Linked DNA regions of Solanum lycopersicum. The protein of the gene in region 1 interacts with the protein of each later gene in a pairwise test. Links are inferred from orthologs where the notes say so. Each region holds a gene or a part of one and is shown on either strand. Other genes may lie near its edges. The genes, in order: TSL-kinase interacting protein 1 and tousled-like protein.

Region 1 (4,349 bases):
TTGATGGTGCGAAAAACTTGTATCTACAGACAATCCCCATATTTCAACATATATAATTCTTTTAATTTGCTCCCAAAACATTTAAAATATCTTTCCAATGCTCCACCCTACAAGTAGAGAAACAATTTTAGTGCACCAGTGATCTTCTATGACTACTTTGCATTTGCAACCTTTTCCCACAAAACGATCTTCTTAGTGGTTAAACCTCTATAGCCATTTCTATAGAAGACTTCTATTTTGAATCTTCATATGCATGATCCTTTCTTACAAATGCCTCATTTTTCAACTATCTTACCACTTCATCCCTTTTATCAAATGGTATTGATGTTTCCAGCTATTGACTTCTCCAACTTCCTTCTGATTTTGTCTAACTGCTTTCTGACCCTAGAGCACTAGCCAAATTATCTTTCCTCGAGACCTAAGAAGTTTTGGATCACTTCATATCTGAGGCTTATATGTCATTTGTTTTTTTCTAAGTAAGAATTGTTGATTAGAAGCACCTAAGAAGATTCTGCTATTTACATAGCAAGATTTGCAAAGGGACCGCATTCCCCTACATTTCATGAAAAGATTGCAGGAACCAATAGAGTAAAAGGCTCATTTAAGCATGCTCAAGTTCTGAAGCTAGATGAATTTAGGTTATACGCTACACTTCACTTAGCCAGCACCTAAGTGTAGGTATCAAGGCGCTAAGGGCTAAAGCATATGCATCATCACATGTGTCTCTATTCTAGGAGGGTGACAATGTGGAAAGAAAGGAAAACAAGATGTTCGAAGAGAAGTAGATGTTATATAGAAGATCAGATAGAAATGATCATGACTTCTAGTGTAACCTTTTTAAACGATATTTAGTTGTCATTCCATAAGTCCTATTCGCTCCTAGATTATTCGAGGAATGAATCTCAACAGGGTCTCATCTGCCCATCTTTGAATATGTAAGAAAGATATGCTGGCTTATGGCTTTTAAAGGGATCTCTACTTCCTTCTCAATACCCTCTAACGCTTGAAAAAGACTGTGAGACACCTCATTACCGATAAAATATAGAAGGAAAGAATGGTTATCTTAATACATGATTTTGGGGCAGGTGGCTTTTCTAAAGAAACTGTTTAGTGGCCGCTCTCTTCCCCATCATTTTGGGGAGTCTCTATTCGGGTTCTTGATTGTTCCGTTGTTCTCTCATTAATTGGTTATGGTTATTATTCCTCTCCGTTTGTATCTCTTTTACCAATTTCGTTCACAAGATTAAATGGAAATTCTCCTCCAAAGCCTCGATTCAATTGTTCAGAAAACAACAAACACAATTAGAAAATAAACTAATTGTTGAGGGAACATTATTTATGAATTTCCTACATTTTAGGACAAAATATTTAGCGATCAATACTAGTAATAGTAATTGAATTAGAAACTGGACTGCAATTCTGTGTCAAAATCAAAATTTTAAATTGGTTTTTGAACTTAATTTCAAGATCTTTACTTCACTAATTTCACTTAAATATAATTTAATTACATCTTTTAAGAAGCTTTAGGTACTTGATTTTTATGTTACTTTTAATGACGGCGATGTCTGATTAAGCATGTGTGCACCTCAAAATTCTACCAGCTACTTGTTTCCTCCCACCAGCACAAGAACCGACCATCTATGCAGTTGGGCCAATTGTCAGACATTGACATCTATGGAGGGATGAGTTGTTTGTCTCCTTATACTCACCTCATAAGCTAGCTTTTAAGGTTGATCACCGAACACGTGTTGGATGACACTGTGATCAATAAGGCTTTGAGCTTATCATAACTAATTCCTCTGTTAGGAACTTGTCATCTCAAGGATGCGATGACACTTTTCTGGCTATAAGTCATTAAGCATAAAATGGAAAATTCAAAACTAAATTGTTTCTAAAAATAAAAAAGTACCATTATATGGAACAAACTTAAAAAAAAAAAAAAAAAGTCACGCGCAATGGAACAAAGGGAGTAATTGCGTTCAGCCTTCCACGTTAGAAGATTGTAAAGTTACTATTCTTTAAGCGTCTTAATTCATTGCTCAAATAGACAAGTTTTCAATCCCACTAGACGTCATAACGGGATGTGTAGTGAGAGAATCCAAGGCAAAAGGTTTTTGGAGTTATTACTATAGTCCACACCTAATTCATGAGATTCAAAGGGGAATATCAAATAGCTATTACTTTCTCGTGCTCGGTTTTAAGAAAAACTAAAGCTCCACGACATTCTCATCCATATGTCATGCTTATAGTTCTCTAATTACACACTTCCCTAATACATTTTCGTCCAAAAACTAAAAGATTGGCAACATATTCAGTTTAACTTAATATTTTTTATGCTTACAATAGCTAGATTTATTGGTTCTTCCATTACATTGTTCTTTGTAGTCTTGGTTATATGATTATATCCATCAAAAATCAAGCAAATTTTATCATTAACACATCAGCTCATCAAACGGACAATAAATCAACACAAAAAAAAGATCTGAAGTACTAAAACTAACCAGATATGGTGCTTCAATTACTAAAATTGAATATAGAAAATGTCTAAAATCACCAATTTCGAATTTCTATGGACCACATACAAGCTTCCTGAGGAAGAATGCACTATATAATTCTATATCCATAGTAATCAGCAACATATAATCAAACTAAACCTCTTCAATCCAAATATTGAACAAATAAAACAAGAAAAATTAGAGAAAAATCGCGGAATTCAGGTCGGTTTCCGAGTACGGTAAGTTAGATAGTTACCGTGAATCAACCGGAGAAGAACACCATCGGAAATCCAAGCGGCAAGTCGGCACCGGCAGGAAGCAGCAGGTGGAAAGAGGAAAGTAGATTGGAATTACGAATGGATTCAATTGGTCAGAGAGGAAATTGAAAAGGAAAGGAAAAAGAGAGGAACAAAAAAAGTACAATATGAGGAAAATTACACATGAAAATCTCCCCTTCAATTGTGATTACGGTATTTTTATTAGGTCCGACTAATTCTAAATTCATGTCGAAGAATAAATACATTTATAAAATATTTTATAATTTATTGTATCATATTATATTATATTATTTTGATGATTATAATGTTACGAATAGATTGAATCTACTCCATTGTTTCATCGTGATATTTTTAATGATTATAATGTTTGAATAGATTGTATCGTATTCGATCATTTCATAATATTGCTCATATATAATTTAAGCAAAATTTGCTATGAGATAAAGTTACTATAAAAAATAAATAAAGGATAAAAATGAAATTATTAAATAATAACTGTTTTCTCAATCTAATTTTATGTGGAACCTATTTGACTTGGCATGGTGTATAAAATAAAGAAAACTTTTTAAAACTTGTAATTTAAAACAATCTATAAATATTTGTGTCACTGTGTGGTTGAAAAATATTTTATTAAAGGTAAAAGAATATTTTAAAGTTAAATTGTTTCTAATTAGAAAAGTAATATTTTTTTTTGGGATAGATTCAAAAGAAAAGGGTATCACATAAAATGAATCAGAGGTAATACTCGGATAACAACGTGATCATGGTGAAGATTGGGAATATCTCAATTCTCAACTATGAATAAGAAGTCGAAGAAGCCTTAGATCCGCCTCTTACTTGCCTACCTTTCCCTAGTCTGGACGAAGCGTTAGTAAGAATAGGAATTGTTAGATTTCCTGTATTGGAGAAAGAAGCTGAGTCAGGATAAAGGAATAGTTTCTACGCTTTTCTAAGATAATACAGATAAATAGTGAAGTTATCGCGCCTAAGGCGAAAGACTCTGTCCAATCATTCACAAATTAAACATTTTCGACGTATTATAACATATGATATGATAAATTTTAAATCAAAATCATACCAAATATTATATTTAAACGAACAATACAATAAAACAAATATCAATCTTTTGATATTGGAGATGTGATAGAAAAAATTGTTGAGTAGGTTGGAATATATTCTTGCAATATATATGGGATAATATGTCATATCCTTGTAATTTAATATGAATAAGTAATCTCATAATTAATTAATATCTCTAAATAACATGATAAAATAATTATGCATTTTATTTTGAGATTGTTATAACTTATCTCTCATATCTAATGATCCATGATAGTGTCTTATTTAGGGACTTTATATTTATTAGAAATGTAACGACCATTAAATTATTATCCTAATATTTTTATATAGAAATATTAGATTATATATCATTTTAAAATGGAAGATCAATAGACTTTTGGTGTATTAACACAACATTATTTTGATTATTACTTTAAGTTATGCATTTGCACGTGTATTTTATTTTAATGAATATTTGATTTTACTATTTTATTATGTTTGATATATTATTTTGATT
Region 2 (3,831 bases), on another chromosome or scaffold:
GACAAGCAACTCCTGTGTGTCCAAAGATCCAGGCAATAGAAACTATTATTAAAATTCTTGATTCAACTCTCAGATTCTCAATATACTAATTTTTTCTAGTTCAAATCTCTCCTTTGTTGTGGGCATGGTTGTTAGGACATAAGCTGAAGTTCTATTGTACTTTAAAAGCTAAATGGACAGGCAGTGACTGTTAGTTGTCAGCATGGATATATTAATATATCCATAAAATGAAACTGCAAAACAAGCAGTCCCTTGCCAGACCACCAAAATACGGAACATACAAGTTGAGCATTCAGGTCCTTTAGTGCTTGCCCATCTTCCCAGGCCTCAGATATAATGGTTCCAGCTCTGCAATTAACCAAAGAACAGAAAAAGATCAGCAGTCACAAAAATAAATAGGTTCAAATCATGATATTTGATAACACGAAAAATAAATTGATACTTAGAGGATGGGCATACGGCCTATTAATAATCTAGAGTTCTATTAGTATACTTGTTACATAGTTATCACCAACAAAATCCCAGCAATTAATCAATTACTCTCCTATTAAGACTCATGTCCACGGTAAGCTTAAGGCTTGTCATGTTCTGCCTAATCACCTCTCCCCAATATTTATTTAGCCTACCCTACCTCTCCTGAGACCCTCCAACGTCGACCTCTCACACATCCTCACTGGGGCGTCTATGCATCTCCTCTTGACATATGGAGGCCACTTCCACCTTAACCTGAATATCTTCATTTCTGGCTATATCTCTGCTAGTAAGCCCCTACACATCTATCTTAGCATACTCATTTCCGCAACTTCCATCTTTTGGACATGAGAGTTCTTGACTAACCAACACTCCACCCCGCACAACGAAGCTGGTCTAACTACTGCTCTGTAGAACTTACCTTAGTGTCACCTTTCTATCACATAAGACACCAGAATTCTTTTGATAAGTAATCATCCTTTTTTGTTTCTATGTACATTGGCATCTATTATGCCATTTTCTTGCAAGACTGAACTGAGGTATCTAAAATTTTTGCATTTAGACATCACAATTCCATCAAATTTCACTTCACCATTATTCCTCAAATCTTGTACATCCATTTTAACATTCACATTTTACACTTTCATCTATGTTGGACCTTAGGGACCAACATTAACCCCATTTTGGATATCACTCGTGTATTAAACTTCTATTTAAGCCATGTTACTTTGATTCCCTTGTTTTATCTCCTCAAAAAAGTATTCATCCAACTGTGTTTCTATCTAGTACACTTGAATCTATTATGCCATTTTACTGCAAGACTGATCTGAGGCATCTAAATCTTTTGCATTTAGACATCACAATCCCAGCAAATGCACTTCACCATTATTCCTCTTCATGGAAGCTACATTCAGTGCAATATCTTGTGTTACTTCTACTTATCCTGAAACCTCACTATCTAGAGTGCTTATCCAGAGTCCAGAAGATAGATTGACTCTCTTGTTGTGTCAATTACAATATGCTATATGAAATAATATGCACCATGGAATCCGTCACCATACTATTATTACAAGAACAATAATAAAGCCTCACTTCCAAGTTAATTGGGGCTGACAATATGTTCAGTATTTAGATTATCCATAACAAAGGTAAATAAATCCCGACTTAAGAGAGATCCTCAGAGGAAACTGCGAACACACAATTATGGGAACTCGTTGCACCTTTTCTTACTTTTCACACTCCTGATGCCTTCTCATCTGTTAAACTTACTTAATATACTAGACCAAGCAGCAAAATGCTCACTATAAATAACACCTTGATAAGAATGCTGTACCTGATTACTCCCACATTGCCCAGTCTCAATGATTCCTGGCGCACTTTCATCCGAGCCTCTTGTCTCTCAGCTTTTGAAACAGATATTAGCAACTCGGACATTATTTTCGTTCTCTGCAGACATGAAAAGAATGAACCATTTCCATGAGGGAATACCAATAAACAGGTATAATATCAACCTTTTTATATCAACTTGGTATTTTTACCTGCTTGCTGACACGAGATTATTGCAGACACAATGTGACACAGCTAAGAATAAATTGTAAGTTAACTAAAGCAGAATTTGACAGCAATATTTTGGCAGGATAGCCAAATAGTGATGTTCACACAACTTGCATGAGATAGTAAATATGTCCACAAATGGACCAACAAAAAGAAATATTTTAGAAACAACAAAGCTAAGTTTGAAAACAATATTTTGCCAGGAAAATGAAATAGCTACGGTTGTGCCCGAAATGTGTGTGTGTACATGCATACCATATATATGCAAAGTGCTTTGGTACTACAGCCTATTCGATACTCCATAATTCTACATAATGTAGAAAACTCTGGTTTTTAGTTTGAATAATGCCTGTTCTGCTGAAGTGGTCAAGCTGAATACACCAACTTTGTAGGTTTACTCCATCAGGTAAATCATATTAACAGATACATTCCTCCATAGCATATTCAGACATATGATGATAACTCGAAAGATATATGACTTAAGCAAATATAGTACCAATCAGAGCTGACAAAAAAATTTGATTTGGCGACAAGCACACCAATGTAGCTAGTTAGTGCCACAAATATTTGGTCATGCGGTTCGCAAAGGTAACCTCCCAATCTATATACAAACACTACCGATTATTTCTAGGGCAGAAACAGAACTTGACCAATGAAAAGAAGTAAAATAACCAATGAAGCACACCTTTGGCTTTGTCTGCTGCTCGTAATCTTTAAGATCCTTCAGCTCCTGTATAATTTAAGTATGCAATGCTGAAAGGTCAGTTGCAATTGAAAATTCTATTCAAAGACAAATCAACTAACAGGTCATTTGGTTCACAGACAAGTTATATACAGATTATAATTTAGGGATTGTAATTCAATAGATAATAATTTCTGAATTATTTGCATTTGTAATCAGATTTTTGCTTAGTAGTTTAAAATTTTGAACATAAATCTAGAATGTTTGTTTGGTTTTATTTTATCTTATTTTGATCAAGTAAATAAGGTTTCATTGAATGAAAGACTGAAATTGGCCATATACAAGAGGTATACCAAAAAGTAGAGAACCTACAAAAAGATATGGTTCTGTAAAAAAGACACCTGAGCTTCTATACAAGCAGGTAGTACATGGGTGCACTAAAAGAACACAAGGGACGGTGAATACTCCTCAACTGAGCAGAACTCATCTCTACTCCCTCAATGACTCATGTTTCTCTCCTTCCAAATAACCCACATCAAAGCTAGTGGAGCTACATTACACACCTTGTGTCTTCTCGACATTCTTCCTCTCTTCCAGTTGAACATCAGCTCCTTTACAGATCTTGGCATTGCCCATAAAATACTAAACCATCTGAAAATATTCCATCATAACACCGTGGCTAGGCTACAATATAGGAGAAAATGATCCACGTCTTCACCCCTCTCCTTGCATAAGTAACACCAACTAATAAAAACAACTTTTCGCTTCCTAAGGTTTTCCAATGTCAAAATCACTCCTCTAGTTGATTGATTTTAAATAAAATAAGCATTTGTGTCTAATAATATCCTCGATTTATACATTTGTTCTATCCGAATTCATATTCAGTTTATCATCATATGTTCTATAATTACCATATAGGATTAGAAATCAAAATAAAATTCAGACTAGTAAGCTTTTCTGTAACTCAAATAAAGAACAATTTTAAGAGTTTAAAATGAGGCATACTATGAGATAAATTGCTATTCTTTCCTGTCCAAAGTAAGTGATTTTCTAGCCTTTCTAACTTGGTCCAAAATAGGTGATTTAAAAAAACGTATATATTTTCTCCAACTTTACTCTTGTCT

What was found.
Region 2: the proteins of TSL-kinase interacting protein 1 (region 1) and tousled-like protein interact in binary tests that used the Arabidopsis thaliana proteins (3 or more experiments, as listed by UniProt). The link is inferred for Solanum lycopersicum from reciprocal best matches to the Arabidopsis thaliana genes TKI1 and TSL.

Annotation. Positions count from the first base shown.
Region 1 is NC_090808.1:2,070,109-2,074,457, forward strand, and holds the start of TSL-kinase interacting protein 1, read right to left. Parts: upstream 2,942-4,349; 5' UTR 2,752-2,941; intron 1-2,751.
Region 2 is NC_090810.1:60,536,623-60,540,453, forward strand, and holds part of tousled-like protein, read right to left. Parts: intron 2,756-3,831; coding exon 2,711-2,755; intron 1,918-2,710; coding exon 1,805-1,917; intron 349-1,804; coding exon 282-348; intron 1-281. UniProt on the Arabidopsis thaliana protein: Required for correct initiation of floral organ primordia and for proper development of organ primordia. Phosphorylates in vitro ASF1B/SGA1, the C-terminal part of TKI1 and histone H3.